Drosophila melanogaster: one gene and its partners. The protein of the gene in region 3 interacts with the protein of the main gene of each other region in a pairwise test. Each region holds a gene or a part of one and is shown on either strand. Other genes may lie near its edges.

Region 1 (4,629 bases), on a different chromosome or scaffold from region 3:
CATAGCTAGCGGAGTGTTGGCAGATAACCTCCACAAGTCGGCCACATCGGCTAGCTCAAAGGTTAAGGAGGCGCCTGAGCCAACCGGGAAACTTTCGACCATTTCCACCTCCCACCAAGTGTGCTACGCAACGCTGCAGACCCAGGTCGTGGTACCCATTCCGCTGCACGTAACACCCACATTCCGCACAGACCTCGTCGACGTGCGATGGCGATTGCATTTCGAGTTTGTGACCACAACTTTGATTGACTTTGGCATTCCGAATCCGGAGTCCGGCGAGCTAAAAGCACCGTCTGAAATGCCCGTGGAGACGATGGTATGGAATCTGCCCGTGACCGTCTACGCTGCGAATCCTCTCCAGATTTATGCTCCAAACCAGACATTCAACCTGCTTATAAAGTAATAGCACTTCAGTTAACTGTGTTCTCTTGATGGAAGTAAGTAGTAAGAAGTATTGTATTAATATATTGGAGAACTAATCCAAAGGGTTTCTCACTTTTAAGGCTATATAAGGCCGTTTAGAAAGAGCAAACGAAAGCAACAAGTCGATTACGGTTCCTTTTAAAAACTTCTGAAACCCAATCCCCTCTTACGTCTTTGTAAAATACAAAAATCTTAATTAAAATTTAGTCGAATATACGAATCAAACCGCTTGAAATCAGAAAGTCATGTTCATAGCGACTTGCACCTGGCGATGTTAGCCAAGATAATATTTACATTTTAAGGTAGGAAAATCTGTTTTTCGCATCTTAATTTATTCTGAGGTGCAAAATTCACTGAATTAGATCTAACCCGTTTCGCCTGGACTTTGAAATCGGCAACAACAGCAGCGGATGTGGGGGTTAGTTTAATAAGTGCTTATATAATTACAGTTCAAACCGCGAGTAACAAACAGCCAAGTAAGGTGATTAAAAGAGAGCCGCTGGGAGGGAGAAGTGCGATTCTGGACATTACTTGTTGGCCAGAATCTCAAACTTGATGCCGTGGTCGTGCTTCTCCAACTCGCTAATTAGTCCGGTCTTAGAGAAGGCGGCAGCTGGAGGCAGCACTCCGCCTGTGCTGGGCATCTTGTCCGACTCACGAAGAATGGTCAGTGCCGCTGAGAGCACAGCCACGCAGGTGGCTCCATATCCGGGATTCATGCCCGATACGCGGACCATCAGCGTCTTGGTCGGGGACTCCGTGTATTGGTTTGAACTCTCGGCCAGGCGATCGCTCTTAAGCCAGCCACTGGCCTTAAAAGTCATCTTGAAATAGGTGCGCTCCATTGACTCCTCACTTGGGCCGGAACGAGAGGCCAATCCGCCGGAGAAGAGACCGGGGTAATTGAGCAGCAGCGTACGTCCCAGCTTGAACTTTGACAGCAGACCGAAGATGGTGGCAAAAAAGATGACACCGCCGGCGACCAGCCAAGACGAAAATCCCACGTAGGCCTGCATCTGGACCGGACGTTTCTTGTCCTGGTCGTAGAGGAAGCGCTGGGACCTCATTACCACCGAGCGGTCGGAGCCGGGAAAAGGTAGACACACCTTGTCAACCTCGGTAGAGCGGAAGACCAGCGGTCGTGGCTTGAGAAAGGGATAGAATCTTGGCAGTCTCTGGGGATAGATCTGCTTCCGGATGCCGCGCAGCTCGTCAGAGTGAGCTAGCCCGTAAACGGCGCTCTCCCAGGTTCCGTAGTTGAGGCCGGCAGTGCCTCCGCCACTGCCGCCTTCTTTGATTCCGGTCTCCAGGAAGGTCTCCACGGAGTTCACCACGCCGTCGAAGTTTTTTTCCACAAAGACGACGCCCATGTCGGCGGGTATGGAGTCAAAGCCGCAGGCGCTGACCACGTACACGCCCTTTTCCCTGGCCAGCTGATCGTACCTCAGCTGCATGGTCTCCATGTACTGGGGCTCGCCGCTAACATCCACATGGTGCGTGCCCGATTCGATGCAGCACTTCACGACGTTTTCGCCGTGAAAGCGGTAGGGTCCTGCCGTGTTCACCACAATCCGGCACTTTTTCGCCATCTCAAGCAGGGAGGCCTGGTCGTTGACGTCCGCGATGAAGATGGGCACCTGCGAGAGGTCCTTCTTGGCCTTGGCGCCCATCTCCTTCAACACCGCCTCCAGCTTCTCGCGGTTCCTGCCAGCGATGCCCCATCGCAAGCCGCGCAGCACCGTGACCGCCTCGAAGACCGTGTACTTGCCGGTGAAGCCACTGGCCCCAAAGATAATCACATCCAGTCGATCGCCAGACATTTCGCCGTAAGTCGCCTTCAAAGATTCGATGTCAGATTGCGCGATATTGCGATATCACTGGAATCGCAGCTGCGACTTAGCACGCTGTATGGTATGGAGTAGATAAACGACCGCTCACCTGTATCGCTGTCTACTGATTCCGCCTACTGAGCTGCTAATCGGCGTTCTTATTCAGTTAATTCAAATACACATGCATCGTGTACGTATGTAGGTGGAAAATCCAACCGGCCAAAGTCGAAGCTCTTCTGAATGGAGTTAGGGGTATTCCTGCAAGCGTCTAATGGCCCGACTTCACTGATTCTAAGGATTGAAGGAGTGTTTTCACCGTCTGAAATTTGTTTGAGTCTGGCTGTGAATGGTCAATTCGATTTATTTGTGATCTTTTGTGACTATGACTCAAAAATGTCATTCAGTGGGAGAGCTATCAGTGAGCTTAATGAAATTAACAGATTAACTTTCTAAATTAGTCTAATCACTTGTGATAGAATGCTTATGTAAGCGTTCCCCTGCCATGCCATTGGATGCATTCAAAATACGAAATATCTATGTCGGAATCACTATACCTATTCTATTTAATTTACTCTGCAAGATGTAGGGAGGATGAAATACGATTCGTTTCTTGGTCAGAGGGTGGAAACTCTGCCTCATAACTTTATGAGCTGTTAAGATTCGAATTGAAGGAGATTTTCGCTTTGTCTTTTTCTTTATACTTGTCGTTCAAAACTTGTGCTATGTACATCAATTACAATTACAAAATGAACATTTTGATATCACATTTTGAAGTGTGAGCTTCGAACTGAAGACTGTGGCCATTAACATTCCGCACGCCAATTCCAGTTATTCAAAATAACGATACTGCCTAACCGGTTGAACGGACACGAGCAGAGCAGATGCGGTAAGCCAATTGCAGATCAATCACCCGATGCTTGGGGAAGGTAAGAGACTTCCGGAATTTCCTGGATAAGTATAAAGTGTGAAGCTAACAGTGGGACACCAGCATTCTCCAAGCTGCATCAACTCAAAATGAGGCTGCATCTTATACCACTGGTTGGACTCCTTGCACTGATTATGGCCCAATCCCAAGTACTCCTACCGGGACTTCGCGTGCGACAGGTTCCCGTGCTCGAAATGGGCCAGATTCCAGTGGTGCAGTACCTGGACGCGGCCTCCACAGTCACTCCAGAGCTGGTAAAGGATCAGTTCAGCAGGCGATTCACTACGCTGGCCAAACCCTTGGTCAGTGGTGCTGCTCCCCAAACCAGTCTCCCAAATTTGTAATTTATTGTTACCGCCTAAGAGTCCATTTGATAAGCGAATATATACATAAATATTAAAGTTACGTCTTTATGCCATTAACTCTAGTTGCTAAATAACCTTGTAACCTACTTTAAATTGTACTTAATCTATTAAGAAAGAACTTTAAAATCGGGTAAAATTACCAACACGCACAGTTGGTGGTATGCATACACATTTTAATATCGAATAGAAACAAAATATTCCCAACATCCTGACCTTTAAACAAGAGAATATCAGGATCCTCGAATATTAGAGCAACAAAATTGGTCACGATTAAGACCACAGAAGTTTGTGTTAACGTGGGATCTTAAATTGACTACAATAGCTCGAATTTAAAAATAAATTGTGCCTAATCTTATAGAGTATTGAAATCGCGTTAGTAATTATAAGGACTGCCCGTTTACGTGCTGGCTAATAATATAAATATTTCGAAAAAGTCATATATCCAGTACCAGTCCTTCTGGCAGAGCCACCTGTTCTTCCAGTCGAATTTGGACAACGTCTGACTGTGACGCAGTTCACCAACGAGACTTCTTCGAACGACTTGTTACTGCAAGACTGCTCCATGGTGCAAGACTTGCGATATTTTATGTCGAGTTTATTCATTCGGATTATATGGATCTCTCTGAAGTTCTCTGACTATCGCGTAAATGACAATTAGAACAACTAGAAACCATCGACAAAGGAAGAAACCAATATCCAAGCGATGAGCTTTAGAAATTGTGTAATTCCAACAGCTCAGATAAGTTGGCTAACTTGGCTGTTATGCAAGTTAAAGTATCTGATACTCGCCATCGGTCGCTTGCTACCATGGAATCATCTGCTAGATCAGACACGATGATCCTGCATCTCGTTTGATCCTGCAAGCGGGATACAACGAAACAGCACCCCAAGCTCGGTGGTGGAGAAAACGAAAGACACGATTCGAGAAACTACAACCCATCCACCGAAGTTGGGCAATCTAGCCCACAATCGAAGCGGATGGTTAAACTGCAGCATTATCTAGCTTACCCGAGGACAATAGCACACTGGGAGCCATAAGAAAGAACTCTCCAATGCCAGGAAAACTTCGAGCATTCATCCATTTTCA
Region 2 (5,327 bases), about 10 Mb from region 3:
CAACGTTGTGAATCTTCCAAAAACCGATGATCTTCGCCATTTCATCGGCCAGTACTACCAAGACTTGCAGTTTCCCACTGGCGAGCTGGATTACCATCAGGAGCACCTCAAGGTGCTGCAGTTTCGCACCCAAAAGATGTTGGCCCAATCCAGCAAAGGGCACTCAGAGGAGCAGAATATTTTGACTTACAGGAGCCAAGCGGCGCCATTGCCTCCACCTCGTACTATGTGATGCGCCCCAATGTGATTATTGTCCCCCTTGGGCTACTGCAAGAGCCATTCTTTCAGCTGGAAAGCGAAGATGTCTTCAAATACAGCCTGATGGGATATATTATGGCACATCACTTGATAAGCGCCTTTGCCACCGAGGGCATTACAATTGGCAGCGATGGAAACGATCAATCATTTAGATCGCATCGTTTCGAAGAAGCAGTCAGTTGCTTGTCACGCAATTCAGAGAACATCGATGAAAGCATGGGCGATATTGCTGGTTTAGAACTGGCCTATTTTACTTATGCTAAGATGGCCAAGAATCGAAACCGTTTGGATTTCACCCATTTGCCACCGGAGCAGATATTCTTCCTAAATGTTGGCCAGTTCTTCTGCGGCAATAGCGATATGTTGGTTCAGTACAAGGAAGATCAAGTGCGTTTACAGCGAGCTATTGAAGGGTTTGAGCCATTTGACAAGGCTTTTGGGTGCTACCGCAATAAGCCTAAGCACGAGAAGTGTCGTTTATAGTGAATACCTTGTACATATGCTTAGAAATACATATTTTTTGATAACAATAATACAAGACAATCGTGTTAAATTATAAAAGTGTTACAATCACATCCATTCTGTTCTTTTAAAATTAGTTTTAAACTAACAATAGTCAATAGGCTAAGATAGTTAAATGATCATCATTCGAATAAACAACGTTCAAGATTGACTCTTCAATGTCATGCACCTGCAAGATTACCATTTATTATAAATTAAAAAAACACACAAAGTTATACGTGTGTTACTTACATGCATTACATTCGGGCCTGGCCATCCACTTAATATACTGAGATGTAGCGGTCTTTGATTTGCGGGATCTCTTATGGATTTTAGAACATTGTTAACTTTGCTGACAAAGTAAATTCAACTTTTAACGACTTGTGGTGTGTGCGGCCCGATGAAATGTCTTAAAATACAAATTAAATACAATTCAAATATAATTCAGACGTCAAAAGGTTTAAAGTTAAAATATATTTTACCTTTTAGTGTTATTTATACGTATGAGCCTTGAAAACACAGTTGAATATCAAACGGATTTTTGTTACCAACAGATTCCAACAGATTCTCCAACTTTCGTTTTTTGATTGCCTATTCACTCGAAGATCTATTTCCAGTACTATGATCCTCCATAGTAGAGTCAGCTCAGGATCTTGTGATAATCCGCAAGCAATTCGACAAAGAATTCGTCGGCCAGAACAAAATTTATTAAATCATTGTAGTCATTCTCAGGATCTCTCTTAACTGGCAATCCGTAATAACGTATTTCATTATCTCCAAAATACAGTCGGAATTCAGATTAAATTTGCCGTTTCCGTCCTTTTTTATAAATATACATACAAATATACTAAGCAATAGACTGAAATGAATTCTAGAATTTGAGGAAACTAATTATGTACCTTTATGAATACTTTTCCTTACTTGTACTAATCAAACTAATTTTTAACAGATTTTTCATGCCGAATGATTACAATCTTATTTGGATGATTTGATAGAGCTTAGGAATAATGGTTTTAATTTTGGATTAAAGAGTTGCGATTAAGAAACGAAGATATTATCTAGTTTTTGAAGAACACAGGGTACTTTAAATTTCGCACGCGGAACGTCAAAACAAGAAGAAGTTTTCATCAACACTGAATTTCCGCTTGGTAATCAGCTGATAAGCGTGCTCACGATAGCCGAGTTCACATCCAACAGATGTTTCCCTTAGCAGGGTTTCAGACCCAAATGATGATTTATCTTATTTTGATTAAGCTCCAACACGCATTGCTTTGCATAATTCAGGTATTATTAGGCTGCTTAATATACAATCCACTTATATTGTTGTGTCCATGAGGAACATCGACACGTGAGGATAAAAATATTTATTTATCGATATATTTTTACTCTTGAGCCTTTTGCACACCCCTAGTTGTGTTCCACCACTACTTCGCATGGCACGCTTTTTTCCGTGTGCTCGGTTCGTTCGGCCATACAAAACACAAAATTCAAGTTTAAAAACTAAATAGGCAACTAAAAGGGAAGCCGCAGCGAATAAAGTGATTTGCTGAAAGAGACGTAAGAAAGTTAATCGCATCGAAGGCACCAGAAATCGGGGATTTCTAACACGGCGCGCGTGCGACGTACATACATACGCAAGCGCACACACACACGAACAATTACTTGCCATTGACGCAAAAGCGAAAAAGCAGTGGAATAAAGGGGAATTGACAAATAACAACGTTTTGCAAGCACTGGACTCTGGTCGCTGGTGTTCTTTCATTTTGTAATTGCCACGCATGGACGACGAAGTAATTGAAATTAGCGACAGCGAACGCGAAGAAACCTCATCGAACTCCGAAATGGATGTGGAAATAACGACAGAACAGCCAACCATCGATGTCAAAGCAGAGCAAATTGTGCCCAAGGACGCGGCAACGTAAGTAAAAATAAAAACGGGAAAATCTCCACAGTCGCTTTAAAACCAGAGATAACAGCCTGTCTGTGAATGTGGTTCCAAGTTACTTAAAAACTGTAGCTATGTTTATGCACAGTATTGTGTACATAAGGAAAAGGCGGAAAAATCTGGCATTATTATTTATGTAGCTGTAAAGTTCCTGAACATAAACCAAGCATTTTGATATAAAAATTCAATTTAAATTTGCGATATTCGTTTCGAAAATAGTAATTTAATGATAGTAAGAAGTGCTAAAACTGCAAAAGAAATTGAAATGTTTTAAGTACATTTTCAAACAATAAGAACGGCTAGTTGAAAACATATAAACTGCAGTCAATGCCAAACTGTGCGATAACAGTTATGTACATACATACATAGGTGTTAAAGTTTTTGTTTGCATTTCGGTTTTATGTAATCTATTGCCCGGGTCTCTACCTCTCACTCCCTCCCCCTGTAGCATTGCCCCGGTCTTGTCGCACCCATTTGGCATGGTCATGGGCAGCAGCCAAACGTAGCAAATAAGTATAGATAAAAAAAGCAAAAACAAGATATAAAACGTCAGCGACGCCAACGCACACGCCCTGCAGTTTACAGTGGGCATTCCGTAGAAAAGATCTGTGTTTATTATATACGTCATACGTTTCCCTGTAAAGCATTGTATTATATAATTACATTTTCATACAAACATGGTTGAGTGCTAAGTGCAATTTTCATTGTCAAAGCTTTCGCCGTTAAAAACATTTAGAAATGAGATATTAAACATGTTTGATTTAGGAAGGTTCTACTGTAATGCCATTGTTGTTGCTAGGTGCGCTTTGTTTAGTTCTTGTTTGAAACTGGTTTTACTTTCCGTTTGCCCACCAATGTTTCTCAATGTCTATCTGTGTGTGTGTGTGGGCACGTTACATTTTGAGATTCGAGCCTCTTTGGTCTCACAAGCTGGCATTAAAGTAACAGTTTTAGAGTGACTAGAGATTAAAGTCAAGGACAGAGTATTGCCCATGATAACGTAATTTAAATTTAATTTCATCATTGCTCTAGAAAATCCCTAATTTTTCATTTTCATTTATGTAGAATTATTAACCGCTTAAATGGAGCACATTATTGCAAATGTGCCAACATAAACAGTTATAAATTTGTCTTTGGCACGCTTCATTTACGTTTATTTTTGTTTTCCGTATTTCCACACAAAAGCGTCGAGGAAAAACAATAGGAAAAATAAATTTAAACAGCTATTTGCATTTGAACGGACGCGATTTTATTTATTTCCGTGTTTACGAGTAATCGAAGCTGACACTTAATTGAAAAATGGGAATTTATTTAATTTTTGGAAATTCGAGTTCAGTTTCGTTGTTTTGGCATTGATATACTTTTTGCCATTGTTGTGGCGCTTATTACGTTCTCTGCTCTACGCTAGAATTTGCGTCACCTGTTGTGATTAATCGCATGAAATACAGAAAGAAATCCAATGAGGATAGATAAGATTTGTATGGGAAATCGTCAGGTGATGGCTTAAATGGGATACAATCTATTGACCACCAGTTTTGCGTGTAAAACTAAATGCGATCAACTGGAGGAGTTTCAAAGTCAAGTAAAGTCATCGCCAAAAAACCGAAACACAAGACAATGCCAAAAGTTCGGGGCAACCTACACACAAAGCTACCGCAAAAGTTGGCCAAAATAAAACTTAATGTGAATGAACCCAAGCGCAAAATCATACGCTCCGCTCATATATCTTAGGCCTTCATCGTTTTTCTAAATTCCATTAGTAATATTATTTCGCCGTTTTGGGGTTCAAGGACTGACTGGGCACAAGAAGTTAAACAAAAAAAGCCGGAACAATTTCTCTGACTCATAGTCATGGAAAAAAGATGTTTATTATTGTTTTTTTGTTGTTTGCACTTACTTGGGAACTCGATAATGACGATGGGGGAAAGAGAGAAGATGATGAGGGAACCCGTTTGCACATCTACATCTATGAGTCAACCTGTTGATAAATTAGAAATTCCGAAAAATTGCAGCATTCAGCCTATTGATTTTATTCGCCTTGGTAAAAAGAAAAAGAACTGCTTTCGCTTATATATAGATACCGATGTGACATTTTGGCCGTTTTTGAGTTCAAGGTCAAATGCCAAGGCATCGTTCCTGCCTACTCGATTATTGTATTCAATTATTGAAGCTAATATTTTCTAGTTACAGTTTAAAAATCGCTGAGCATTTAATTAGCTTAGGTAATAACAGTTTGAGCTTAAGTTTTGTGATTAGATTAAAGCCTTATCACATCTGTTAGGCATTACAGCACTTTTGTTTTAGTTTTGCTTGGAATAAGAAGAAAAAAGAAAAAGAGCTCGTTGTTGTGATTGCCTTTCAGGATTTACTTATAAAAAAACATAACATAAAACATAAAAAAACATGAAAAACATATACTTCCTTTGCATATATTTCCTTTGCCATTTGGAAAACTGTTGCTCGTTATCTGGAACTACAGTTTGGATAGCACTTTGTTCTATTTATTGGCCATCAACAAAGTTGCTAACGCTTTCGGTGCAGATGTATTTCAACGTAGCTTCGACCCAAATTCGCTTTGGTACAACTTTTTCTCTATTTCGTCTAAACTTTTGGCCAACTATGT
Region 3 (4,269 bases):
AATAAAAGAATATCAACTTTCGCACTTGATTTTGTCATATAAAAGCTATCGTATGACCACAGAACAGCTGCATAACATAGCAACCACCATGTCTGCTATTCGGGATGGCTATACCACCATGTCGTCCTTTTTTTGACGGCTAACTGTGCCACGGAAACTTCTGCTGCACCGGCAACTCATTTAAGTTCTAATCACCTGCAACGACGACAATTAATTAGCTGGCTTTGGCCAACGACAGCGGCAGCAGCAGTCATTAGTCTGAAGGCCCATCGGTACCACAAGGGAGCCATGATGCTGCAGCTTCAGCTGGAGCTGAAGCAGGAGCAAGAGTTGAATCCTTAGAGCCCTGGCAGCATCTGATAAACAACGAGCAGTGGCAACACCAGGAGAAGCAACACTAACGGCAACATCTGCATAATGCGGCAAAAGGAAGTTGCTGTCCGCTCACCCCGAAGATGTGGAAAGGTGTTCCTGGACGATACTTAAGCGAAATCAGATGCGGCAGACGGATATTAAAAGCAGGCGACAACCGCAGGAACTGGCAAAATGTAATTATGTTGTGAAACTTGTCCTTTCAAACGCTGTCAATTGCAGCACAGGCGATGTCTTCAATATAAGATATTAGTATGTGGAACTATATAGCCAAAAGCACGCAACTCTCATCATTTAAGTAGCAAAGTTTGGTTTTATTATAAATGTCATCTCATCTTAGCTCATTGCACTTGGCCCGGATCATGTTGAAGGTAACCGTGCCGACGCTTTGTGCCGCGTTGTGGAGCAGCTCAAAGATGTGCCGGTTGCGCTGACCCTGCTCCACGGTCCGCTCGTGCAAGCGACGCAGTGCGTCCGAGTAGGCCGTGTACTTGGCCTCGCACTCCGTGTCCAGCTTGAAGACCTGATACAGCTGCTGCAGATCGTACAATTGGCGTGCGGTCTCGTCGTATAGCAAACTGGGTGACTGTGGCAACAGCTGCTCCCAGTGCTCGTGCACCAGGTCTAGGAATTCAAAATTGCTAAAAAGAAAGATGACGAACAGGTCCAGTCCCTTGGTCTTCAGCTGGGCGAGAAGATGTTCGGTGATGTGCTCGCTGCTCGATGTGTCCCGCATCTCCTCGTAATCGGTGCGCAAGTGGTGCTCCAGGTACGCATACACCCGTTGACGTTTCTCGAAGAAGTCCTCCGTGGCAAGCATGACGTCCAGCTGCTGCTGCATCTTGTCCAGCTTGGCACTGCTCCCGGCCAGATCAGCATGGTCACCGTCGATGATGTCCTGCAGCAGGGAACGCAGTATGTGCAGGTAGTTGTCGATGATTTCGGCGCCGGATAACTTGACCCGCTCGTACAGCTGCGCCCCGAACTCATTGAGATCCAAGCCGGTGGAGTTCACCTCCTTTTTGGTCAGATTGAGTTGCCCCAATGCCGCCCCGACTGTCTGTTCGTTGATCAGGCGACTGCCGCGATGAGGAGCCGGTCGGTCAAGTTGCTGGCAGAGGCGGTGCATGCGCATCATTCGGATCTCTTGTGTGCTAGTCTCCTCGGCAGCCCTCAGCGTGGATCTGACTCGGTTCAGAAAGACCAGGTTGCGCAGCACAATGGTGTACTCCATATCCGTGTCCAGGTGCGGACGCACGTCGAGCAGCTGCTTGATGAGCGTCACCTTCAATTGAAGCTTTGGTGTTGCGCGAGCTGCACTCATCTCTTCGGTGTAGTTGGCATTCCGAGGAATGCGTCCTAGACGATCCAGGTAGTCGTTGAGACTCGGTTCAATCCGCTGTTGCACCAGGTCGCTTAACTCGCGCAGAAGCTCCAGCTGGAAGTCCTTCACACCAAGATCCAGCTGGGGAGCAACAGGATCCGCCTGCATGAGCGGCAAGAGGCACACCCATGGCAGCCACCACTCGATCATCATCTTAGAGGGAGCTGGCTCCAACTGATTTTGATTGCAGAAACTGCGTTGTTGTCGCCGCCAGTTGGCTGATTAGACGAAGGGGCTTAGATTGGGGTCAGTAGTCAAGTCGGTGATGCGGTTAGTTCGTCTGATATGCCAAGCCGACCACTGACGATTAACCAGTGCGAAAGCGAACTGCGCTCAGTTCGACAGCCTTATCGCTACGGAGCTGGCACTGAGAGAAATAATGGGTAATCCAATTCGTGCAAATTATATTATATTTTATTTTCTGCTAATAATCGAACGCAAATTAAGGACAGCGAAAATAAGAAAGGAAAGAGTTCAGCGCTGATTACAATTCCTCTGTCAGAAACCAGCACAATTTAATACATAACTTTTTATTTGAAGGTAATGCATTTTTATCCTTTCCCCATTTCGACAACTATTGTTCGTCGAAAGGGCATTAGTGGCAACAACTGACTGGTGAATCGGGATAGGATTGAATGAGGGAATCGATTCGCTGTAACCTGGTGCCCGTGCAACTGCAAATGGCCAGGACATTGGTCCCTACAATGTATCAAATAGTCAGCGCTCCTTCCCAATTTGTCTGTGCGGGCAATTGTTGACCGAACTCAAACTGAGCGCGTGTGCGGGATACCTATCACAAGTTAGCTTAAAGTTGCAGACTGCAGACTGCTGCCATTTGACGACAGAACTTCAGCGGAATCCCAAATGGGATGTGGCATGAATCCACATGGATTCCAAATCAGCGATGCTCGTCGTTCTTCATTCTATGGCGCAGCTTGATTGAAGTTCGTCAAATTGATTGAACTCATGCCACTTCCCCTTTGCCAACTTTTAGCGAAAACACTTGATTTCGATTTCGTTCGAACATTTCTGTGCATTAGCCTTTAATATTCGATCAAAGGGTATCTGCAACCGCATAATGGCCAACACCTTTTAAGACGAAACCCAAAACGCAAAAAAAAACTATGGAAACGGTTTGGCAAAGAGCGTAAAAATGGGGAAAAATGGTTAAGAAAAAATGAAAGGCACACCGATAAAGTTTTTAGGAAAAAAAAAAATGTAAGAAAAAATAAAAGATACCAAAAACCTGAAGAAGAAATTTTCCAACAATTGCACAATTGGCATGGGCTACGCATTCGCTTCAATGGCGAACGACCAAGACACTTTGATTCAAACTGTGGCCAAGGACAAAGGATTTCTGGAGGACGAAAGCCAAGGAGTCATGGCTGGAGGAACGGCTGCCCTCCACATTGCTGGCACTTAAGTGACAAAATCTATTCGCAAGAAAGTCATCTGGTTAGGGTATCTACTAGCCCATAGAGCTTTGCTCCGGTCACTCATGGTCGGTCATTTTATTCTTATACTTCGCCAGTGATGCCTTTGAGAAAAACTTTGCCACTTTTTCCATCATCGCCGACAGTTTTCCTTTTTTTTTTTTTTGTCTTTCTGTTTTTTCGGTAACAAAGCCGAAACTAAACTTTCCAGCGCTTTGCCAGACGGGTGGAAATTCTCGCTGGCCAGGGGCGTGAAAAGCGCTAAAAGCGTTTTAATGATTTTAAAGGAGTTAAACTTTTGTTTTTTTCAAAACACTTCTTATGCGCTTTCTTCATTGTCCGAAAAAATTGCTCTTCTTTTTGAACAATTGTTTTGGTTATACTGTGCTTTGATTTTATCGCTCATCCCGCGCGTTGACCGAGCATCATTCTAAGTTACATTCTAAGTTGTGCTCTTTTATATGAATAAATACCCTGTACTCCTAGAGGCATTGGGTATGCACACATCTATATCCAATAAAGATGTTGGACAGTCATCTGTATAAGAGAATTTTAAGTTCTTTCAGCTACATTACTTGGGATCAGAATTCCCAAAGTAAATACAAATGCGAAAAGTACTTAATGCAAGATTTCATGATTTCCATTTAAATCGAAGATATTGTCATAAAATTATCTCAGTGTATTTATCTGTCCTTCTATTTTGCTTCATTGTTTACTCAACTTGACAGATTAAGTAAATGCTTGAGGGGCCAATATAGAGCATCGCACATACATATATTTATCAACTGTGCATTTTCTATCTCAAAAGTGCGAACTTTAAGCTTTATGGAAAAAATAAGTTTGTCTGTAGCATTAAACCGAAGGAGGCACTCCATCAAACCCATGGAGGTTAATAGTGTTAATACATTTAGAGACATGTCGACCAGGTAAAAGGAGCAAGTATCTTAGTATCTGACATGGCTGCTGCATCTCGGTTAGAGGCTGCATTGTTCCGCATCTGAGGTCTCCTCTAGTCTGCCGTACGTTTGCAGTCCAAGCAGTGTAGAGTCCGAGAAAAGCGGGGAAAAGCTTATAAGGACA
Region 4 (3,765 bases), on a different chromosome or scaffold from region 3:
ATATTTTGTACTCCGCGAATTGACAGCGCCGTGATGATGCAGCAGCGTCTTTCGCATTCCAGCTCCAGGGGTCGGATCACCCCTGACCGCATTGTGCAGGGATTTTCGAAGCTGGGGCAGATTCTGGGGAGAACCATCGTCCATCGACGCTCCGCTGGAGTCATCCTTCAACAGATTGGTGCTGCACATCTTGCTCTCGGTGTAGATAAACTCGTAGTCCTTGTACAACTTCTCCAGGCCAATTTCCAAAAGCAGTTCCAGAGGCTCGGCCCCACTTAAACAAGGCATGGCCAGACGACGGTTGGCCAACTCGGTGATAATCTTGGCAAGTCGATTTTTGTTAGTAGGCGTGTTCTATGGGGTGAGGAACATGAATAATATGTGGTGGTTTGCATGCATTAGCATACTTACTACTATGTTACACCGTGCAGCACATTGGAAGAGCATACTAAAGGCAATTTTGAGATCCTTGTAGGAGTGGCAGCACTTGAGCAGCTCCCAAAGCTTATCGGTTAGATCCGTGAGCTGGCGAACCTTGGCCCTCTGCACCACATCTTCGATGTCAAACTCCGCATTGCTGATGCTATACCGACCTATAAGGCCAGAGACATCTGTCATTGTCTGATTAATGGACTCGCGCAGCTCGTCCATGTCAATGCCACTGCCACAACGATAGGTGGGATCCCGAGAGACGCCCTGCTTGACATCCGTGTGGTAGGAGACGATGTCCTCGCGTATGTAGACCAGAATGCGCAGCTGATTCATAAAGTCCTGCGTCAAAGGACCGCAGTCGCCCACGCGAAAAGTGTGATTCAAAGCCACATCGCAGTCGTTCAGGTTCACCAGGAGCGGAAGTGCAGCACTAGAGGTCCAGGAGCAGCGTAGTCTCATGTGGGGATTGACCTGGTAGCTATTTTCAATGAGAGTTTCATCCGGTGTCTTGCCATGATGGCGCACCAGGGCTTGCGAGGTTACTAAGTAAGCAGGGCGCACACCCTGGTAGCTAAGTATTCCCCTGGAGAAGTGCGTAGGGTTGAACTCGTACTGGAGCAACTGAGTCTGCCCGAGATCACTGCCGTCGCACAAAAACCACACGGATCCGAGTCCCTCGGCCAGCTGCAGGAACTCGGAGCACACGATGGACCTAGCCTTGTCCACGGGTATTCCGCGTTGATATTCCTCCTCCAGCTTCCAGGGATTCGAGTGATCCAGCTGCAGGTCGATGGACAAGTCGGCTATGGCGTCCACCAGGCAGTCGTCCTTCAAAGGACTTCCCGTCAGATCCAAGTCCGCAGAGCCCTCTTTTTTTGGGGCTGCCCTGGTGGGCGTGGTCCGGAGTCTCGCCACTGCTCCATTGCGATCCTCCTTAAAGACCAGCACAATCTTCTTGCCAGCTTCCGCAGCCCCCACCATGCTCACCAAGTAGGTGGGTGGCGCTCCATAGGTGATCGTGTATGACTCGCCACACCGCCGCATTAGCTCCGCGTAAACGTTTGCCAAGTTCGCAGAAGCCGACATTTTTGGAGCAAATTCGCAAAACAGAAACAAAAAGCGGCAGTATTTGAAAAGCGAAGCGAGAATTGGTTAAACGGTCACACAGCACTTCGCTTTTTAGTGCACCTCAATAATTTTAGCAGTAAGCCGCGTGAAGGTCACACTGCAACATCGATAGCCGATAGACTTAGGCCAGCAACAATCGATAATTCTTATCCCCGCACGTGTTGAAATTGTTTTCTTTTATTTGGATCAGATTTAATTTAGTTAATTCAGACATGTCGGACTTTGAAATGGAGGACAGTGCCTCGGGCTACGACTCAGGGGATAACTCAGATGCCGAGGTAAGTGAGGAACCGAAGAAATGAACACCCCGTATACCAAAATCTCCACTCTTTTCCTGCAGCTGCAAGCGGCATTTGAGCGAGGCGACTTGAAACCAGGCCTAAATGTGGAATTCAATGGCCAGAGAGACAAAGTGAACGATGTGGTAAGTAGCTAGCTGGATGCCCGCTTTTGAATCGACTAATCCAATCCTGCCCACATAGACCAAACTGCTGGCCAAGACAGAGGCTATCAAGATGCAACTGCCTTGGCTGGAACGCCTGGACATGATCAACACACTAGCTCCACTGGCGCCGGAACTCGCTGTACAGCTGGAGAAGCACGAGCAGAAGCGGGCCAATCTCTTCAAGGGCAACGCCAAGCTGCCCTACATTCGGCCCGAGGAGGATCCCGTCCTGAATGACTTCAAGAGGGAGATGCTCTTCCACCGACAGGCGCAAAGTGCTGTTCTGGAGGCCATTCCCCGCCTTCACGAGCTGGGCATAAAGACTCGTCGACCCGATGACTACTTCGCTGAAATGGCCAAGTCCGACGAGCACATGCAGAAGGTGCGCGCCAACCTGATGGCCAAACAGCAAGGACAGGCGAAATCCGAGCGCATCAAGCAGATCCGCGAGCAGCGCAAGATGGGCAAGATGCTGGCCAAACAGACCAAGGTCCAACGCGAAGCCGAGAAGAAGGACATGCTGGACAAACTGAAGAAGTTCCGCAAGGGCAAGCTGAAAAACCTGGACTTCCTGGAGGACGCCAAGGCGCTTGAGTCCAAGCAGAAGCAGTCAGCCGAGAATCGCAAGAAGCGCAACAAGAAGTTCGGCTTCGGCGGCAAGAAGAAGGGCCTCAAGAGGAACACAAAGTCCTCCTCCGCGGGATTGGATGGCGACAAGTCCTCCAGGCGCCAGCGGGGCGTAAAGGCAGGTGCTTCGGTCAACAAGCGGCTTGGCAAATCGCGACGCATTAAGGCCAAGGGCAGAAAGTAATCCCCGGGACTGCCGACTATATTTAGGTGACCAAACTCTAGTTTTATAAAGCCCCCAATCCTGTATAGATTTTTTAGACCCATAAATACATAACATTTTGTGTGCACACAGCCTTACTTTCGAAATGTGGAATACTCCGTATAGAATTTTAGAATTCCATGAGCAATTTTCATAAATTACATTTTTCTAACATCGTTTATTCTAAAGTGGACTATAACTATTACACGTTCTCCTTGTTCTTTCGTTTCTTTTTTAGTTTTGTGCTAGTTTCCGATTCCTCCGAAGAGTCCGCCGTTTTTCGCTTCTTTTTTGACTTTACTTGTTCATCAGTTTCAACATCCTGGGGCAGTCCTTCAGTTGCTCCAAGCCCTGCTTGCCTATCCGCTCTCTTGTCCTTCTTCTTTTTTATCTTCACTGGCTCTTCGACTTCCACACCGTCTTCCTCTCCCGGCTCCCGTGTCTTATTTTTTTTCCTCTTGATCTTGACGGGATCTTCTGGAGTTTGATGTGCTGGGGATTCCTTTCCTGCCTTCTCAGCCTTGTCTTTCTTCTTTTTCTTGGATTTTATGGGCTCTTCCAGTTGGGAAACCTCACATGCCTCGGAAAACTCCTCCGCTATGGATTTTTTCTTTTTCTTTGCCTTCGTATCACACTGCTCCACACTGTCATCAACTGACTCCACTGCTCGATGCTCGGTTTCAGGCGTAGTCTTCAGCTTGCGCTGAAGCTTCTCCAGCATCTCGCGCTCCTGCTGCTCCAGGCGGGCGATCTTTCCGCTCAGCTTTAGGCCATGCCGTGCTCCTTTGTGCGCAGTCCTTCCTCCGCAGGCCTTGAAGAGTTCCGCATCTGTGAGTACCGCCACCTTGGTGACCTCAATGTCCTCCACCCTGATGCGTTCGGAGGTCTCAACCTCTCCACCGCTCTGCGTGAGCAGCGAAGTCTGCAGGAA

Evidence for each region.
Region 1: the proteins of CG42369 (region 3) and CG2604 interact in a two-hybrid assay, tested with the Drosophila melanogaster proteins (one large-scale study listed by BioGRID).
Region 2: the proteins of CG42369 (region 3) and Tpr2 interact in a two-hybrid assay, tested with the Drosophila melanogaster proteins (one large-scale study listed by BioGRID).
Region 4: the proteins of CG42369 (region 3) and CG1542 interact in a two-hybrid assay, tested with the Drosophila melanogaster proteins (one large-scale study listed by BioGRID).

Annotation. Positions count from the first base shown.
Region 1 is NT_033777.3:5,220,889-5,225,517, forward strand, and holds CG2604 (uncharacterized protein), read right to left. Parts: upstream 2,478-4,629; 5' UTR 2,362-2,477; exon of another isoform or gene 2,259-2,361; 5' UTR 2,244-2,258; coding exon 951-2,243; 3' UTR 744-950; downstream 1-743. Other genes in the region: CG1116 (uncharacterized protein), read left to right, coding at 1-403; CG14664 (uncharacterized protein), read left to right, coding at 3,267-3,521.
Region 2 is NT_033779.5:16,489,375-16,494,701, forward strand, and holds the start of Tpr2 (tetratricopeptide repeat protein 2), read left to right. Parts: upstream 1-2,165; 5' UTR 2,166-2,537; coding exon 2,538-2,677; intron 2,678-5,327. Other genes in the region: Nepl8 (Neprilysin-like 8), read left to right, coding at 1-221, 275-741.
Region 3 is NT_033779.5:6,395,185-6,399,453, forward strand, and holds CG42369 (uncharacterized protein), read right to left. Parts: upstream 2,066-4,269; 5' UTR 1,910-2,065; coding exon 704-1,909; 3' UTR 669-703; downstream 1-668.
Region 4 is NT_033777.3:31,211,772-31,215,536, forward strand, and holds CG1542 (uncharacterized protein), read left to right. Parts: upstream 1-1,686; 5' UTR 1,687-1,772; coding exon 1,773-1,838; intron 1,839-1,900; coding exon 1,901-1,984; intron 1,985-2,042; coding exon 2,043-2,816; 3' UTR 2,817-3,013; downstream 3,014-3,765. Other genes in the region: zwilch, read right to left, coding at 1-354, 412-1,518; CG15561 (uncharacterized protein), read right to left, coding at 3,037-3,765. UniProt on the Drosophila melanogaster protein: Required for the processing of the 27S pre-rRNA.